2 linked regions of the Styela clava genome follow. Each later gene encodes a partner of the first gene's protein in a complex. Links are inferred from orthologs where the notes say so. Each region holds a gene or a part of one and is shown on either strand. Other genes may lie near its edges.

The links.
Region 2: the proteins of mediator of RNA polymerase II transcription subunit 24-like (region 1) and mediator of RNA polymerase II transcription subunit 16-like are in contact, whole or in part, in a cryo-EM structure (PDB 7EMF), measured with the Homo sapiens proteins. The link is inferred for Styela clava from reciprocal best matches to the Homo sapiens genes MED24 and MED16. Residues at the interface, in NP_055630.2 of Homo sapiens: Ile539, Leu540, Asn541, His544, Pro545, Glu593, Arg629, Met630, Leu631, Gly632, Leu633, Asp634, Glu635, Asp676, Gln679, Gln680, Thr681, Ala682, Pro702, Pro703, Lys704, Arg705, Pro706, Ile707, Lys708, Glu709, His737, Met738, Gly739, Gly740; in NP_005472.2 of Homo sapiens: His29, Cys30, Pro31, Ser32, Arg52, Asp54, Asp55, Gln56, Glu82, Asp102, Val126, Glu127, Gly128, Asp129, Pro130, Val184, Ser185, Leu187, Thr203, Glu204, Ser205, Cys207, Arg208, Leu209, Arg210, Gly211, Arg212, Asp232, Gly233, Ser234.

Annotation. Positions count from the first base shown.
Region 1 is NC_135252.1:17,333,033-17,343,024, forward strand, and holds mediator of RNA polymerase II transcription subunit 24-like, read left to right. Parts: upstream 1-4,995; 5' UTR 4,996-5,095; intron 5,096-6,279; 5' UTR 6,280-6,290; coding exon 6,291-9,356; 3' UTR 9,357-9,411; downstream 9,412-9,992. Other genes in the region: delta-1-pyrroline-5-carboxylate dehydrogenase, mitochondrial-like, read right to left, coding at 2,516-2,719, 3,271-3,454, 4,823-4,872. UniProt on the Homo sapiens protein: Component of the Mediator complex, a coactivator involved in the regulated transcription of nearly all RNA polymerase II-dependent genes.
Region 2 is NC_135264.1:6,222,578-6,233,304, forward strand, and holds the start of mediator of RNA polymerase II transcription subunit 16-like, read left to right. Parts: upstream 1-6,567; 5' UTR 6,568-6,645; coding exon 6,646-6,784; intron 6,785-7,450; coding exon 7,451-7,558; intron 7,559-8,120; coding exon 8,121-8,275; intron 8,276-8,994; coding exon 8,995-9,095; intron 9,096-9,174; coding exon 9,175-9,308; intron 9,309-9,389; coding exon 9,390-9,499; intron 9,500-9,622; coding exon 9,623-9,733; intron 9,734-10,727. UniProt on the Homo sapiens protein: Component of the Mediator complex, a coactivator involved in the regulated transcription of nearly all RNA polymerase II-dependent genes.

The sequences.
Region 1 (9,992 bases):
ATTTGGGTTATGTTAATTAATTAATTGACATTAGTCGGTATTTGTGTCTTCGTTTATACATTTCCAAGGGATAACCTCTGTTGGCTGTGATCTCTCACCCATTTATTGTTAGTGTACTTATCGGACCAAAAAACCTTTATACCCAAGTTTTTTGACAAAAACTTCAGTTATCTGGGATTCACTACTTCAAAGCTGTTCCCTGATTGTATAGGCATGAACTGCTTTACTAAGTCTCGTGTCAATTGGTATTTATCTATGATTTTACAATTTATTTATATCTTTCAGTATCTCCCCATAACTTCGCTCACAAACAGGGATGGCCATTTCCGAATACTAAACTATTCCGAATACATTCTAAAATAATGTTTTCGAATCTGGAATTCCGAATACATTCTAAAATCGAAAATAACACATTTTTGTTTTAGTTTATTAAAACCCACTAAATCAGGAAATAAGCATCAATAGAAATATCAGAATGAAGCCACAGACCAACAGTATATGTACACAAAGTAATTGATAGTTTATAGCTATTAATAAAAAATAATAGCAACTTGTGACACAGTCAGTTTATTAAAATTATTCACTTTGTACAAATGACCATATGAAAAGATAGCCAAGGAGTTGTCTGATGCTTTCTATCATTGGTATCATGATATTACGATAATAGTCGAGTCTATTGACAAAAATACTACTTGCATTCAGATAATTGTGTATATTTTCTGAGAGTAATTAAATTTATTGGCAATACAGGCAACAACAATCGAAAATCCATCATGCCTTTAAAAATTCTAATATTTAAGCCTTGAGTATTCTACTACCTACCAGTATATTTGTATATAAATTTATGTGAACCATATTGTTATTATGTGTAACATATAGTTGTGTTTGGAGTTGGAAATAAATTAGTAGAGAATAGATGACCACCACTGCCAGCGCGCAGCCAGGATTTTCGAAATCGGAAATTCCCATTGCCGCCTGTAAGACCCACCGCGATTCCGCACTTGTTAAAAGAGCCGTCTTGTCAGCGTATAATGATCATTCTGTTAGGTAAAATATTCAATCCATGACAACTACGAGATTCTAAAATATCTTTATATATTAATTTAATGTGTCCAACATAACTCGCGGTTGCTTCTTCTTACGTCAAAAAAAAAAAACATTACTATTCGGTCCACGGCAATCTGTGACCGAAAATTACGAGATAAACTGCCTGATGTATTTAATTTTAATATGTATTTTTGCAATCTTGCCAACTCGTTATCGCCGTTAGAAAAATCTCAAATATTTATATAAATTCATGTTAAGTGTAGAGAATAATTCATTTCATACAATGAATATACATATAAAGTTTAGCAGTAAATTAGAAATACATATTCATCGCCGCGATTATGCCACCTGTTAGAAGAGTCGACTTTTACAACAAATAATATAACAACGAATATATATTTTTCTGTTGTGCAAAGTGATGAATTCGTGACCGACACGGGCATATTTAAAATGTCTTGCTCTTATTAATTTAATTGTCTTCAATTTATCCTGCGGTTGCGTCGACAAAATAAAATCCTAACCACTCTTATATACCGTTGCAAACCACGGCCATAAAAATAAAAACGTGAGGTAAACTGTCCGATTAAGTATTGTTTTTATCCGTATTTTGCGAATTCGGCAAATATTCAGATGTACTTGTTAACAGTGACTCCGCTCGATCGAAATGCTCAGAGTAAAATATCTCAGAGTAAAATTTATTTCATCACAATAAAATTGATTGAATATACTTTAGATTAATTATATTATATACATCCTCACAACCAGGGAAAAAGTCGCGTTTCATTCAAACCTTGTATCGTGTTAACACGAAAATATTCGACGGCAATTTAAATGGATAATCAGGCAAATCCCGCCCTCAATTAGTGACGATATGTTTCTAAACGCCGACCAAACATAATGTGTGCCAGAGGCACACGAATTTTGCGATTTTCACTGCCTAGAAAAGCGTTTTTTAAATTTTCCCGGGCCTCAATAAAACTTATGTTGTTCACGGTTTTATTTTCAGTATTTTAAATTGCCGCTTTTCAATCAAAAAGTTGCGTTGTCTTTAGAAACTCGCCGCCGATGAACGTATTTACCAGATTCACAATTCCGTGCGCATACAAAAATAAAATAAATGTTATCGTTATCGTGGAACAAATTTGTGGAAAATTTTCGTTTCAGAGAAAATAACACAATCGTAAAGGCGTTTACGGGCCTAAATAACACGTTACGCTGATGAGTGATGAAAACAATCACGCGCAAGTTTTCTATCGAGAATGTTTTCATTCAACGGAAACATCTTGAAAACGGCGTCGAAAATGAGTGACGTCACACAAATATCCGATATTCTTATGAACTTGAATTCCGATATTCGAATGACGAGATATTCGAATACATTCGAATACTTTATTCGAATTGGCCATCCCTGCTCACAAAGATCAAATTCTATGACTAATGAAAATCTGTTGAATATAAATCATGTTACCTGTCCCGCCATTGTAGTAGCCAACACTTCTGCTCTTTTTTCTCCAGCAATTTTATCTGCTGCTTTCAAAAATATTTGAACCCTATCTTCAACTGGTTTTCTTTCCCATTCAGCCCGAACAGAAAGACAGTTTTCAATAGCTTTGTTTATGAGGTCAGAAGAAGCATAACAAAACTTTGCTATCTTTTGCTTGTGGTTATACGGCTGTAGAAAAACATAGACAAAATATGGTATAATGGTATATCTAGATATTAAAAAAATTATGTCAAATATGAAATAGCGATGAAAATAAAGCAAATGTATTCTGAAAGTATCCAACACATTTACATAACCTAACGCTGATTCGCTGAACATAAATAAAAAAAATTAAACAAAAGTGTGCACAGTTTATAATGAATAATCCCATCAAAGTGAAAATCAGACATAACAATAGATTTTATCTTCGTTATCTTTTCCCTGCTTTCTTTACAGTGCAAACCAGAAGGATAGGTTAGGATTTCACGGACTTAATCATAAGGCATACCACAGCCTCTCATCCAGTTACCAGTCTATATCGGGTATGGAATTAGTTAGCCAGATATTTATGAACTATTATTATGAACTTGAGCGAGTGGATGGTTGGAACATGAACCACCTTGAGGTGAGTCTAGCAATCCTCTCACATATAATCATCCCCTACAGGATTCAACTCATGTAAAGTAACGGGAAGTGCGATGGCAAGTGTATTCCTAACAGTTGGTGCAATTCGAACTTACCGAGACTTGATAATGAATGTCGTTTGTTTTAACATGTTCACCGCCAATAACAATAGGTATGTCTTCAACACGAGATTCAACTAATTTCAAAGCATCCAAAACATCTTGTCTTTCTTTTGATCCAGGAGTAAAGTCATAAATCGGTTCATTCTGAACTGATAGACTTCTCGCAGTTATTTGTAACCTTTCAAAAAGGAAAAGATTTTGAATAAAATGCTTAGCAAATATTTTGTATTGACCATTGCTGTATTAAAAAGTAAAATGTCAAGTATTGCCCTACTACTGTACAAACATTATTTAAGGATTGAACTATACACTCAATTATATCAGTATCAATTGGAAATAAACAGTAAAACATGTTTGGTTATAAATTCCGGGAGAAAGACCAGCAGCTATGAGAACTCAGGAATTGTTCTGTAACAACAAAAAATCTGCAGATACAGAGATATCTAATCTATCTGCACATAATTTAAATTTAGGAACTCGTACAAAGAAATTGACCAACTTGCTAAAGCACAAACAGTGGGAAATAGCATGAAAAAGACCATGGGATAACATTTTTTATATCTTTCGGTGAATATCTGTATATAGAAAAGTTGATGCAACAGCTTAATTCAGTAAGTACAGGTACCAAAAAAGCCGATACCTAACAGCTTTTACCAGAATGTAATAAATTGAGTACACAATGCCAGTCCTTCAGGTTTAGCAACTGTATGAAGTACGGTATCAGTGGCTACCGTAACTATCTGACTATCAACCGTAATAGAGTCCTTCAAACTATGCAAACTATCATCCAAGACACGCAAACAAGAACCCGAAATCGAACAGCAATTTCTCTCGTTTTCTAGTCGCAACGATCCCGATAGGAGAGACATTGCTAACGTTAGTCAGTTCTCTATCGTCGGCGCCGATGCCATTTCGGGCAATCGTACGAGTATTTGGCAAGCTCTATGATGTGATTTTGACGTCGCAGTGACGTAATTTTTGGATGGCGTAGTCAGGTTAGGGTCTCATGTAGTTTCGTACCTAACGTACTTCTAGTAGGCGTAGCATAACAATTTTCTCATGTGTTAATCGTAACCCCCACCTGACCACACCATCCAAAAATTACGTCACTACGACGTCACAGTGACGTAATAGAGCTCTTCAAACTATGCGAACTGTCATCCAAGACGCGCAGACGAGAACCCGAAATCGAACAGCCATTTCTCTCGTCGCAACGATCCTGATAGGAGAGAGATCGCTGACGTTAGTCAGTTCTTTATCGTCGGCACCGATGCTATTTCGGGCGATCGTACGAGTATTTGGCAAGCTCTATGACGTGATTGTGACGTTGTAGTGATGTAATTTTCGGATGGCGTAGTCAGGTGAGGGTCAGGATTGGCATGTCAAAAAATTGTTATGCTACGCCTACTAAAAGTACGTTAGGTACGAGTACGAAACTACACGAGACCCGCTCTGAGTGCAGGAGTGAAGCACTGGAACACTTCTCTCTTTATAGCAAATTTTTGGAAGCCTCAAAGTATATGTATTGATATTAAAAATTACGCACCTGTGTTGCTTTAACCCGGTAAATATTATCCTTCTTCCAGAAGACAACATTGCGCTATTCTGAATGCCGTACAGTTTAAACAAAACGTGTTGCACCGCGAACTGCTACACTCAAATGCAGATTCGGTCAATCCGCAAGGAAATCCGCTGTGTTGACAGTCCGTAGGTTTGGCTTTTCGCAGCCAATCAAATAATAGAAACGCGGAACGCCCATTTATCGGATCTGCTTCAACTGGGCCTCCCCCTCCTTTATGGGCCACAGGAATATTTTTAGGTGGGTTAGGAATCTATTAATAATTTGATTGTAGTAGCAATGAATTATCCTGCTGTTTTTTGCTACAGAGTGGTAGTTTTTATTCAAAGTAAGTGTCTATTTTGTTTTGTTTAGAACTTTTGTTTTTCTCGTACTTTTTCCTTTTAAAAAAATTTGGTGCAACTTAAATGCGTAACGAGAGAAAAAAAAACTGGCTCACTGGCTCGGACAGATTTTCTTGGACCAATGCCGGAGGTACTAATTATTTGACATGGAAACTTATAAAGATATTTTACAGCCACCAACAAAAAATTGAACCAATTGGCTTGGTTTAAAAATTACATACATTTGAATCATTTGTCGTGTATTCCAATTTTAGAAAAAATGTCAAAAATATTATTCCGCATGATGGTGCACAGGATTTTTGTTCCCATCTGTACTTTGGAGGATTATCACAAAATATTACGAGTTATGAATGTTGGTCGTACCGTCCAGTGGTTTTAATTAAGATGGATTATAGCCTAGTGAGATAAAAAAGTTTTTTCAGTTGTATTAAAAATAAACAATTGCGAGTTAAAAAATATTTATAAAACATGTATTTTACTAGAACTAAATAATCAGTGTTTTTCACATTTATCATTAATTGAACGTAATGCAGTCATACTTCTTCTGTGTACTGCAAGATATAAAATATGGTTAGAAAGTAATGCAGTTATTTTTGAAAATGTTAATCCAAGTGTAAATAGTGTCATAACAAGAATTAGAAAATCCCTTTTAGCAAGGAGAAATATAGAACAACTTAGACATAATCCTAGTTTTATAAAAGAACTAGACATAATTTGTAAGATTCTATGACTAATTGTATAAATTTTTATTTTTCTGCTATAAATTAAAAACATATAAATTAATGTATATTTACTGATAAACATGGGAAACTTTATCTGGAATCAACAATGGAATAATATGAATTGCTGGATAATACTGGATGATGTTTACGAATATATTTGTTTATTATATGTAACTATGTTCTATGATTATTATTTTTTCATCATTTATTTATTTTTACAAAACTGTTATGAATCCACAACGTGGACCTTTAAAAAAAAAAAAAAAAAGAGATAAAGAAGTTAGTGTTTTACAAAACTCGAATAGAATAGAAGACTTCAGTTTATACATATGTACTTAATTATTTGATTTGTTTGCAGGTCAAAAAATTATGCAGGTGTCAGTTCACACCGTTTTCAAAAATGTAGTTCTTAATGCTTGGAAAGAAAGATGGAGTGAACAGAAATGGACTTCAACAATGAGAAAATTACTACAGCCAGGGAATGTTGTTGACATGTTTCATATGGCTGATGTTCTCTTCTCTCAAGCATTCATCGGAAGCACACCTAATACAGTTCTTCTTAGTTATTTTAATTACGGACTCAAATCGGGGACTTTGTCTTATGCAGCTATATTGACTGCCATTTCTAAACATGAGGATCTTCAAAACACTGCTAGCATGGATTATACTTTGAATATACTCATGAAATATATAGAAAAACTAAACAAGGGACAAATTCTAGAAGACAGCATGGGCCTGTGCAAAGCTTTGCTTGTGATTTTGCAATGGCTTTTGAGAAATATTGAACAATATTTAAAAAGGGGTTCAGGAACTTCTGGAGTTGAAGCTGAGAATTTGCAAATTCAGAAAAACTGCTCAACTTTGCATTCCTTAACTACATTACCGAGAACTGCATCTCTTCTGACTATTGCAAGATTTGAGGAGAGCAGTGTTTGGAGCCATATTGAAACTGATCTCGCTGTAATTAAAAATGCTGCTGTTGGACATAACATGCAAAATGATGTTAATGTATCATGTAATAGTGTATCTCAACTTGCTCGCTGTAATACAAAAACATCTGCAGTATTCTGTTTGCCAAAAATACAAGGAAATGAATCTCATCATGGCATGTTGGTGAATATGTTTATCCTCCTAGAAGGTGAATGGAATAAAATGACTGATCCTGATACTTTAATTCAACAATTGCTGTTGCTCTCTCAACTTTGTGATCTCAATGTTTCAGAACTGTGTCTGGACTTGATACGAGCCTGTATGATGGGATTCTTAGGCAGCATTGATGGAGATAGGAAACACAAATGGTCATCTGTACTTTTTCTTTCACTTCCCCAACATCTTAAAAGACTTAAATCTGCTATTGTGTCAGGAAATGGTTCAGATTTTAAAAAGCTGTCTTTAGAAACAGATTTTGAAGATGCGACGGCAAGTGCTTTTTCAGAATTATTGCAATATGACAGTCTTCTAGATGTGTTAGACCAAATTACTGGAAATTGTGATTGCCTAAGTTGGCTCATTGATCGTTGCCTATCTTTCGGCATATTAAAAGAAGATGCTGCAACAGAGCTGAAAACACGAAGACTCAGCATGGCCAAAGTTTCATCACAGCATCCAACACACGCAGTAGAACCGAGCAAATTGATAAAATACGAGGCAACTGCCCGTCAGTTACTTTCAGTCATAGACACTTCTGCTGATTATATTTCTAAACAAGAAAATTTGCTTGCTACATTGAGTCAAATGTCAAGTAACTTTAATATTATCTTGGCAAGTGGCTCAATCACACACAATGTACAAAAGTTTGCTAAAAAATTAATATTGTTTAATGATGTTGTGAAATCCAGCACTGCCGAAGGCGGTAAAAGTGCACAAATGAGATGTCTTCTTTTTGATTTTACGCATTTTCTAGTCTGCCAAATTGCTGAACAGTATGGAAAAAACGTTGTTTTAGGATCTATGGCAGACATGGATTCTAGTAAATACTTTCTATACAACTGGATATCTGTTTACTGGCCTGATGATAGAGGTCAAATATTGAGAAATAGTAAAAGCGAACTTGATGTTGATGACTCTCGTATTAAAATGTATCTTGAATTGTTACAAAACAAAAGGGAACGAACTCAAGAACAATCGTGCAGTATAAAAAAATGGCATGAGATGTGCACCAATTTGCCAAGAGCATTCATCGAATTGGTAAAGGCATGGCAGTACAAAGTTGTGAGCAAAGCAGATGTGTTGGGTGCCTGTGATGTCATATGTAATATATTATCATTGTCTATCAGACTGACTTGTCTTGTTGAAGTAGCCAAATATGCTTCAACCGTTCCAAAACTATTCTGGAAGGAATTGAAAGAAGTCGTTGAAAAACTTTCAACGCATGGATTTATATCGCCACCCGGTCAAGAAATACATGCAGCAAAACGTACAAACATGTTTAAAGGTATATTGGAAGTGTTGATGCCAAATTCAAACCTACCTGGTGCACAGGATAACGAGCCTGTGAAATTTCCAGCTGATGTTCTTTCCGATTTAATAACAGAGTGCAGAGAGACAGGCTGGATAGGAAGAAATATGCTCTGTCGACTTGAAGCTGTTTTGAAGCGGTCCGGTGCCAAATGGTTTTGCCATCAACTTGTTTCACAGTTGTTGTCACAAACTCGCAAAGATATTGTTGAACGAACAGCTACTGTTGTGGGTGGAATATTTTTGTTAGATGTTGAGAGTTTTGTCATTTGCTTGTTAAGACACGAAATTCCGCACTATTTGACTGATGAAGCTGATCACATGATTCTCTCTGCTCCTGCAGGAAATGTTTTAGCACAGCTTGCTGTTAGCTGTCTTGCTATAGTTCTTCATAATATATCTTTACAACAAAAAGCTTGCCTTTCACAAAAAACAGCAAAAGAAAAGCTATCGCATCAACTTCTAATGTCTGGAAAAGAGTCATTGGCTTCTCATCAAGTACATTTCCAAGATGAAGTCGGACCCACTAAGTTGCGAAGACTTTTCAGTTCGACTGCAGAGCATGATTTGGCAGCAAGTGCGTTTTCATCTATACTTGGCCGCGAAAATTCTGCCACAGCTCAGTCTAAGCATTCTCATGTAAGAGAACCAGTATTGAGAGCACTTAGTTACGCATTAGATATTATGAATATGTCGCTTGCTGAACGACAACCCGGTCCTCATATTGACTTTGCAGTTTACTTCGTATATCTGGCATCACTGTGTGGCGAATTGGTTTCTCAAGCTGTTTTGCAGCTGATGCCATTAACCATGGTCACAGAACTGGCTGCTATGGCTAGTGATGGCACTTTCAAAATTTCCAAGTTTGATAAAGAATTTGATAGTTTTAATTTTGTGTTATCTGTATCTGACCTTGGCCACACTTTCAGCAGAAAAGTGGCTGCAAAGGCAATTTGTCAAATGGTTCTTCCCGAATAAGTCGATCATGTTGGAACATGCTCTTTAAAATATATATGATATCAAAGAATATAAATGGCTTGTGTTTCGAGAGTATATCTGGTTTCAAGCCCTAAATCTCAGCGCAGTTTAAAATATTTGACATGTCATCCCAATTTGAATAGATTTTACATATTTATCCCGGGGAGAGAAAGCCGGTTGGACCATGACCTCCCATCCGTTTACCAGTCCATGTCCGGGATCTTGCATCTAGCATTGTTACTTATCGATCTCTAGATCGGCAAGTATGTTGATAGGTATTTGTCTGTTAGATGCACGCGATATCTCACGAAGTCGTGGTTGAATCTGCTCCAAATTTTGCATATGCATTTATCATATCTCGGACCAGAAGCCTGTTGATTTTGGATGAATTATGTCGTATAATTAGCGAGTTATTAATTAATTAGTGATGAGACACGCGGTGTCACTATAGATTCATGAATCGAAACCGCAGTTTCGATCGATAAGTCTTCGATCTCCGATCAATATTCTTGTTTGCCAGTTATTGGTTTCAGATGCATGGACTTAATTGTGCAGCAAGCTGTAACCGACCAGCGATTATGTGAACAATCCAGCAACGGCGAGGAGTCCAGTCTCACTCTCGCATATAATTATTAT
Region 2 (10,727 bases), on another chromosome or scaffold:
ACGTCATCGCACTCAAAAAACAAATTTCATAGAGGCCACAAAAATTAAAATAAATAAAATATACGATGCTCAACCGCTGAAAATTTCAAAGCAATTGGTCCAGTAGTTGACGAGTAAAGCGATATTTGCATAATAAGAAGAAGTGAAAAATACTAACATGGTGATCAACAGAATAGCAAACCGATGCTTAGGTACATTTCGTGTCCAAAAATAACATACGATCCATGGGTTCATTTCGTGTACCACGTATTCGTACAAGAATATTGGGTTTTTTCATAAAATGTAAGTTTCATGTAGTGTTTTATTATGTTCTCCGCTCCGCACTAGGTTTTTAAGATCTTATATTGTCTTGATTCTAGATGCTGCTGCCGTATCCGCTATTTATATTCATTGCTATAGAAGACTTGCACGGGTCACGTGACTTTGTTACTGGACGACAATAAAACAAAAACGTCCATTTGGCTCCTGTCAGTTGCAAGTCGGATTATACGTTTCCGTTTTGTTTGGCTGTTGAAAATGGTTATTTCGTATTGTTCCGTTGGCTGTACGCATAGTATAGAAAACGAAATAGATCTTCAGTTATATTCCACTGTTTTCAAAAAAGATCCGGAACGTCGCGCAATGTGAATATCATCTGTTGGCAGGACTGCTTGGTGTCAAGTCCAGAAGCCATCTCACTTGTGTTTCACTGTTTGCGGACAGCACTTCGTTGATGGTGAGTCATCATGTGCCGTTATCAAATTTTTAAATATTCATAAGCTCCCTCATTTCAATGGAAAGCAGATAACAAACTACTGTTATTGGTAGGTCTAGGCGTAGGCCTACTTGCAGACGTGACTCGTGTAAGGTATTAATCAATAATTGCCATAAGGTTTTGTTTTCCTAGTTAGCAGGTAATTTATCAGTAAGTGTAAAAAGTTGAATAGATAACTAAAGTTTAACGCCAGTGCTAATAAAAAAAATAACCAGAATTCAATTGAATTCTCAATCTAAGTATACGCTCGCCACCGCATCTCTGATCCCCCAGGGAGTTTCACTGGTTCCAATCCCATGCGGGGATAGTTATGTGCGAGGGGATTGCAGCTCTCTTCCCACTGAGGGTTCACACGACCGTTGGTCGATTACGACATCCCCCGCCATCAAGTATAGGATTCTAAAACAAATAACTGGCTAACTAATCCCGACATAGAATGGTAATCGTACGATGTTGCACCTTGCAATCTGTCCCCAACCACAGATAAATTCTGTCCTGAAAACTACCCATATTGGTAGGCATAGTTGCGTTTTAAATTGAAAGAAATTTTCATTAATTGTCAGAAGGTGTTGTCTGATTGTTTTGTTAGTTAGCAGGTAATTTATTACTGATCAGATACACAAACTTGGCACTGTCAAATGATGATTAGTGTTGATTTATTTTCAGGAAAAAGGGAAGATAACCCATTATCAGCTGCTTATATGTCCCATCGATATTGGAATTTTTGCCATCCCCAGAGAGGAAGAGAATAGTTAGAAAAAGGGGGATTTTAAAGAAAGGCAAAAGGCAGGACCATTTCAACAAATTCTGTTAACTTGTATGCGTTGCAATATTAATTTGCAGTTGTTTGCATAAACATTTAATGTGTCTTTCGACTAGACCTATACAAAGCCGCCTACACCCCTTTTAACTAGAACCATAATACTGTAAAATATTTGATAGAAATTACCCCCGAGGCATCATATCTGCCATTTGAAAGGGCTGTGGAGTCAGATACATTTTTTACTCTAAATTATGGAATGTTACTTCCAGGTTATCTTATCCTTGCTTATAGATATCTTGAGGTTAGTGACTCCAACCAATGACATTAAACCACATGATAGGCAACTCTGACGTCACTCTATAAGACTACATGCGAAAGATTGTATTTCATGATACGCTCCAATGCACATATTTCTCGTCGCCTTTCGCGACGGTTTTCCGCTTGCTTTTGCTACTCGGCGTCTTCTTTACGTGTAGTACCTGCCTTTTTGCGCCTGTAACGAAAGAAAATAATCTCTATATCTGAGAAGTTTTGCTCATTTGGAAAGCTGGAATGGCAGACAAGCTGTAAAGAGTAATTCTGAACATCATAGACGTTTTTTTTATCAGAGAATATTACAAACGCGATAGCGTAAAGATTTGTGTGAAACATTTTGCAGATAATGACAAAGTTCAAAGTTAGTAATTTTAATGTTTGCGCTTAAACATTGAAATTTCATTTAAAGAGGGTGTCATACAAAACAGCAAAACTGTTTTTACTTCTCTTAAAGGTGCTGTGATACAATTCCATAACACAAAGTTTGCACCTATCGAACTTGTTTTAGTAGGTGAATTTATTAGACATATAACATATTCAGTTAATCGTAGGTAACATTACTGGTACATAATGCCTCGTAGATAGGTTTGTGTCTAAATTTAGGAATTTAGCTCATAGCCCGCTAATTAATATTATCTTCTATGCAGGAGATTGCAGGGCTGATTCAACTTGCAGCCTTACCAATCACCTGACGATGCTCAATTAGTTTGTCTCGAGCAAGTCTTCTTGAAAGACTTGTGTGAATGGAGACTACCTATATGTTTTGCCTTCCTCCGATTTTAGAAGACAAATTCAATCTGAGGAATTTTGCATATATATAATTCTCATTGATTGTTGGCTGTTTATAATTCCTATTAAATGTGAATTCTGATTATATCAAAGAGTTCAACATTTTTTACGTAATTTACGGGCACTTTTTTCTTGTCAATACTCCAAGCTGAGGTAATAAGCAAGACAATACATTCATGTCATCTGAAAGCAAAATATACACACTAATTAAAAGTTTGACACATTGAGATAATACATCATGACAGAAAATACAAAGATACAGTATGTATGACCATCACATGGTAATTAAAATTAAAAAAAAAATTAAGAGAGGCTGTGGAGTATGAAAAGTTGAAGACAAAGAAAAGAACAAAAGTTCATAGCTCATGAACTCTCAATTCTGCCTCCATTGCTTTGTGAAGGCCAATATATTCCGAGTGGCTGAATTGGTTTACCTTTATGATAGCAACGGTTTTGTATTTAATATAGCGAGATTTTTTTTCAATTTAATTGAAGTGATATTATTTCCCAAAGGAATGCTTGAATCGTCTAGAATAGATCAGTGGTGTCAAACTCATGGGTTTCGAGAGCCGCATTGCATGTTGGAAATTGTAAAAAGGGCCGCAAACAGTTTTTGATAATGTATACTCGAGAGATATTTTTCAGATAGTTTTAGTTTGTGACATATATTGTGATGCAACTAATCAGTTGGATTAAGTTTTATTATTTTCTTTAATTTCAAATGCAATTACATATTATTATTTGCATTCAACTATTATTGCAAGTTACTGTATTTATTACAAAAAATCATAAAATTCCATGTACAACCATCAAAATCATTTTTGAACAAGCCTTGGTTAAGGAAAGAATAAAATATACACTAAAAATGACTTAATCTAAATATATGAACCTAAAATTAACAAAAATACTACAGTATAAACTCAATGTTTTTTTAATTACATTTGTCCTGACGTTTGGCATCTTCTTTGTGTCACCAGCATACTAAGGCCAGGCTGAAATGATTTTATAGTACCAACTCTAACTAACGAGGTCACATGATCATGGGTTAATCTGTATCTTTGCAAAAGTTTAATTAATTCCAGTAATGCAAAAAAGTTACTTTTATCATTTCATGTATGGATCAGTAAAAATAAAAATGACAGATTTTTTCGACAAGACATTTCACGCTACATTGCATGGCATAGGATTGCTTGAAATATTATTGATATTGATTTTTAGTAACTAAGTCGTTGTATATTTATATTAATATACAAACACATGGAAATTTTCTGTTCGGAGTTGGTCTTCGAATTTGTCATATTGACTGCTGAGCTTATTGTGTTTTTTCATTGTACTGATGGAAATATGACAAATTTAACAATGTGCTTCAGAATTTTGTGAAATGCAGAAATATTGCAACTCCCATTTTCTTCGAAAATGCCACCTTCTTCGTGTACTTTAATTTAATCACTCAAGTGTTTTATTCAGTATTCTTTTGCTAGCTTGATGTGTATTCTTAATTGAGTCAAAATGTGAACAAAAAAAAATTAACTTTCTAAAACTACTTTCAGTAAATTGTTTTCTGTGTGAATATTCAATTTCACTTTAAAAGGTTTGAAAATTCCAAAATACTATTACAATTATTGTTAAGCGTTCGAGGGCCGCACTGGAAGTTCTCTGGGGCCGCGAGTTTGACATCCCTGGTCTAGATTAAAGTTGTCTAAAATATATAACATTATTTTATCATGAATCATGATTATACCCTTTCCTGAATTTCTTCTATAGTACTACCAAAATTTGATGAACCAAATATAACACAGGTGTAGTCAGTGAACCGTAATCCTCATTTTTCAAAGCTGTTTTAAGTATGTCTGGCATGTTTTGTGCCTTTTTACAAAGGAGACCGCTTATGCAATCTGGAATTTTTAGTTATTTCCCTCAAGCCCTGCAGGATGTAGGGGCCATACACAACTTTACCGGAGGGTCAAATGTCTTTGCATTCCTCCATAGGTTGTTCTTCTATTGCAAACATTTATGGAGTATTCTAATCATATTTCTTGGAATCAAACTGTCACTGATATGTCGCCAGACTTCTGATATCTCCCCTTCAGCTACAGTTGTCCTGTGAATAAATAATAGGAAATTGAGGTTAGACGAATAGTTGAAAGTTTTGTTTTATGTCGGCCTAATTTCTTGATTGATATACTCACTATTATTGCTATTGCCTCTTGTGCTGCAGGAGTCTCACAATGCTTAGACAGGTCTGTCCACAACTTTCACATCTGTAGGAGAGGAGATGTATTAATTTTCGTTAAGAATAAATAAAGCAGTCTATATGATTCAGAATGGAAAAGCTAATAAACCCAATATCTTATGTTTTTTGTAAAAAATGTTTTACTGGATTTGGTATATAAACCAACTAATGAAGGGGTTTAGTCAGAAAATTATAAGCATTCGTGGCTCCAAATACTTGAGAGATCAGACTATACAATATAGACCGGTATGAGTGAAATTTTAGGTGAAGTTGTTAACCCGTTGATTCAATACGCAAATAAAAGTGAATGAGCAATAGTATGTTACAGCAATAAGTATATATCCTCACTGATTAAAAAAATCTAAATGGAGGTGCATGAACTATTTGAAACCATAAGGGGTAAGTAAATATGCAATTTCGGCAGATGGCCAACTACGTACCGTACTGAATTATAAACTTCGTAGTATTTGACAAAAGCTGGCTTTCCCGCATGTACTTAACAGTGCGATGCCCGGGTGTGATATACAACAATAGTATTTACCTTACTTTTTTCCGATTTCTTTTTACCTTCAATTTTCCACATATCATTAAAAACCACAACAATTGTCGAAGCAGGCTCGAACACCATTCGTGCTATGCCTTGAAAGCAACACACATCCGCTCGTTTTCGTCTCGTCAAGTATGTGCATTGGAGCGTGCTATCGAATACGATCTTCGGCCAAAAATGCCGGAGTTGCGCATCATGTTGTTTAATGTCATTGCTCCAACTGACCCATGCATGCCACACTGAAAATTCTCTTGTGTACCCATAAAATAAGGCTGTTGGAGCCTTCAGTCATTGAAAACAGTCGAATCTGAGCACGATGGATTTGTTTTCAGAAGCATGGACTTGGATGGTGGGGAATGGTCGTAACCGATCAGTGGTCATGTGAACCACCCTCGGTGGGAGTAGAGATACAATCCTCTCGCATCCTCTCTGTAATTGAAACCTGTGAAACTCTCAGGGTGATCAGAAATGCGGTGGCGAGCGTATTCCTAGATGGCGAATTCAATTGAATTCTGGTTATTTTTTGCATGACCACTGTTGTTAAACTTTAGTTATTTATTCAACCTTTCACACTTAGTAATAGATTACCTGCTAATTAGGGAAACAATACCCTATAGCAATTGATTATTAATTCCTTACTGTCTTACACAAGTTAAGTCTGCAACTGCAAGTAGGCCTACTAATAACAGTAGTTTGTCATCTGCTTTCCATTGAAATGAGGGAGCTTGTGAATATTTAAAGAAATTGATAACGACACACTATCACCCCATTATCACTCACCATCAACGAAGTGCTGTCCGCGAACAGTGAAACACATGTAAGATGGCTTCTGGACTTGACACCAAGCTTTTCTGCCAATGCAATAGGCAATCAGGCAACAGATGATATCCACATTGCGCGACGTTCCGGATCTTTTGAAATCAGTGGAATATAACTGAAGATCCATTTCGTTGTCTATACTATACGTACAGCCAACGGTACAATACGAAATAACCATTTTCAACAGCCAAACAAAACGGAAACGTATAATCCGACTTGCGACTGACAGGAGCCAAATGGACGTTTTTGTTTTATTGCCGTCCAGTAACAGAGTCACGTGACCTGTGCAAGTGGATTCCTAAAATTATATAGCGCTTTGTGCGGTGGGCTTAATCTAAGATCCTGGCCGACGGGGAATCCCCTTTCAATGTAGTCGTTTGCTCGCAGTCGTAGCCTAGCTTGTTATCTGTATAAACAACAAGAAAATGGAGCTTGTTTATCGGATTAGTTCAAATGCAAAGTCATCAGTTCAATCTCTCGGCCACTCCAGTAGTTCTAGTCCCATATCTGCAACATGGTCATGCAATAATCTTTTGGCATATCCATGGGAAAAAGTAGTCAAAGGTTGGTTTCTTTCTGCCATAATGAAGTTTGCTTGTTGCTTTCGTATCGTTTTAGTTTTTGAAAGTGTTCAAAACAATGTCAATTCAAAAATCAAAATTTAGAAGCCTTGAAAATAAATAGAGTTGAATTCCAACTTAGCTCTGTAGCTTGATGCCTGTAATAACTGAATGCAGTAATGAAAGCTTTTCAAAATATAGTAATATTTAACAAATAAATCAGTGGAGCCCATCATCTATTCAAATGTCAGTGGCTATTAAAACTCTCAAAAACCACTTATGATGTAATAATTTAGTTCCTACTAAGAAGAAACTAACATTATACAGTTATATGGATTACAAATGATGCAATTATGCAGTTTATGGCGAAATGAAAAAAATGTGTAAAATATAAATAAAAAAGTTTGTTGACATGCATCAACTTATTTTTACGACTCGCGAGTTATATTATGTGAACCGCTATGATGTGTAATTAGTGAGGAGTAGGGCTATATGGCTTTATGCCTCCTCTGGCATTGAATCTCCAGTGCTTTTAACAAAAAAACTGTTGTAATCACTTCACAAGAGCCAGAGCTTGTAGAACAAAGAACCGAATGCGGCTCAGAACACTCGGGTTGCCGATTGCTAATATATCTGTATATAGTATGCTAATGCCATAATCCATATTCAGGATACACAGAAAGATATGTCAGCATCATTGATCCAAATCAGCCATGGAATGTCCACACAATATCATTCGATAAAGCTTCTGTAAAAACTTTGCAATGGAATCAAACAGGTAAATTGAACATTTCAGCTATTATTAGATCGTCTAGATTTTGACCTTTTTTTCTATTCACATATAAATATACATCAACTGTAAACTTTAAAAAAATCAGTGTTTCAGTAGGGACGTTTGATAGACTGTGGTACCATCTGCAGTCAACTTTGTGAAAATGATTAGTGCTTGCTATTACACGTGATCAAGGATCAAGCGTGAATTTTGCTTATAATTTTATAATTAATTCTTATAATTTTGATGAGTCATCTTTGAGGTGTGTGCTAATGCAGCGGGATATCGTTAGGCTAGTCAGCTCGCTACCCTGATTTTTAACTCTTGTAAATACGTTTTCCATTGAACCTGATATTCAAGGACTTGTTAAAGTGCAGCAAAGGATATACTCATCTCATTGAAAGTAACAATCAAATTATGTCTTGTTTTATTTACATGTTCAATAAAATACAAAAAATGGTTACGTACCAAAAAAATAAACATACAGACACTTTCCAGACATTTTTGAGATACAGAAAGTTGGCATTTAATTCATTTTGAGCGTGTATATCTTTGTTTCTGTAACAAGGCAACAAGTTACTCTGCTCAACTTCAACTGGTTTTTGCAATGTATGGATTTCATCAAATCATCTGACAAATGTTTGGAAAGAAAAATCGACTTATGGATGCGACTTACAAGGGGAAGATATTTTGGCCTCATCATGGCTATCGAATGGACGAAAGGTACTTTGGCGTAGCTATCGTTATTTTTTGGAGCTGCCTAGCACACAGTTCAACTTTTAAATATTTTATCTTATATATTATAATCCTGAAACATGATCCCTTTTTCTAAAACAGACTTATATTAATTCAGAAGTTATTTGAATTAGTTTTCAGCTTCAGTCTTTATTATACAACTTCAATTTGATTGTGTTCAGACTTCAATTCAAAATTTGAGCAATAACTTAGGCTCAGCGGTGGGACGCATTATGAAAAGCGTCAGGAATACACTCGTCACCGCACCTCTGATTACCCTGCATGAGTTCGCAGGTTCGAATCACATGCGGGAATAGGTATGTGCGAGAGAATTGCTGGACACTCGCCTCGTAGGCTGGTACACGTAACCACTGGTCTGTTTCGCATCCTCCATCATCAAGTCCGTGCTCCTGAAAACAAATACCTGGCTAACTAATTTCATACCCGACATTGTAATTCTGGACTGCAGAAAGCATTTATTTGAGTGAAGTTGTGAAATTTCTCACAATTCAAATATATCTTTTCTGTCAATGATATTAGATTTCAAATATTTAGATTTTGATCTCGTTTTTTTTATATGATATATAAACCAGATTATTTAGTAATGTGTGATATTGATGTTAAGAAATTCTATGTAGAGTAATAAAAGTGATAAAGAAGATAACAGAATCTTTCTCTATTATTTTATTTATATTCGCATGCTTTAGGTTGTGCTTCACGTGGACAAGTTGGACAATCCCAAAGAAAAAATATCGAGAGCTCATCACCGACCATCGCTTGCACAACTTGGTGGTCAACCAATGGAAGGGTGAGTTCTTGAAATATTACTTGTAAGTATGTATAAACTGAAATTCTTGTACTAAATGTAACTAAAATAATTTTTTTAGGTATATTTCTGTTACTGGGTCTGGACTTGTAGTCGTAAAATGTATTACTGTTACACAAGATGATGCACCAATAGTAGCGAAAGCGCAGCTGAGCAACACCGAAAATTTCATGTTGGCGGATATTGTATATTCAAGTAAATATGAGCATTCTTATCTACTCTATTTTCTTCTTTAATGTTTTTTGTGTGTTTTGATTTTTGATAATCTTTATGTAGATCAGGGAAATATTATCGTCATGGCAACTGATTGTGATGTCAACAACCCAATAAAATTTTGGACAATTGAGCTGCGCTACAACAATGACACAAACAAATTATCGCTTGAAGTAAGTTTTGTTCATGTGTTCTGTTGAGTTCTGCGAAACAAAATTGATGGTGAATTAAGTGAAAAATTTGATTCGTATTAACCCATGTATGGCAAAGTTCAACATTTTGATTTTTTAACCCAGGTTGATGTACTTCCCAATATTACTCTAAAATGTGTCGAAGATTCTGCTGGCAAATACAACTGTATAACTCACGCTCGATTTGTAACTGGAACGAGTACTGAATGTGTTGTGGTTAGTACAATTTAAAATTCCATTATTAATTTTAAAAAAGTATGAAATTTCAAATGCAGATATTGGTGAAAATAATATTCATTTGGTGCTATGATTGACGACATATATATGCATTTTCTATAAATATGGCTGCATATTATGAAAACTTGTTACTGTAGACCTAAGCTGGTTATAAAACATCACTCAAAACCAATTAAACTTAAGTTTGCATTTGTTTGAGATCACAAGCTAGTCATTGAAATACAGATATGTTAATGCATAAATTTTCTATATTCTGCATTATGCAATTATGTCATGGATCAGGGGTGTGCAACCTTTCTTAAAGGAGGGCCAGATAGAAATAACTCGATGAAACTGCGGCCGCACCTTTATTTAACATCTGTTTTCTAGTAGTTGCAGCACAAAAATTTTGGGTATTTATCTTATGATATGCATTGTTCGCTTTGCACAAGCTAGCTGTTAGGGTATTGTAAAGTCATGGGCGTAGATAATACATTGAACTCAAGTAGAGGGATTGGAACTACTGATTTAGAAACTCGTTTCGCGGGTCGCACAAAAATTCAAAAATTCCCACTTCTCCTTGGGCTGTACGATTTTTCCTTGGGGGCCGCATTTGGCCCGCCAGCTGCAGGTTGCTCAACCCTGCCTTAAATGTAACAGTTTGACTCAAACTTATTATATCGGTCAGAGACCGAAGACTTATTGTTCGAAAGATAGGGGATCCCCCAAAACAGAAACTGCGGTTTCAATTCGAAAAATTCTGCAAACCCGAACTGGATTGTTTTGAATAGTTTTCAGCCAATATCAAAAATGTAGGAACAATAGCCAACTCCCCATGTCGTCGTCGAAATACTACTCGAGGAAATACTTTTATGAAGAATTCTGCAAATCCGAACTGGATTGTTTACCAATCCTATATTTTGTGTCAAATACAACGGCGCTAACCCGGGTTGCGACGGCTATTCAAACACAGCCTAGCGATATTTTGGTGAGG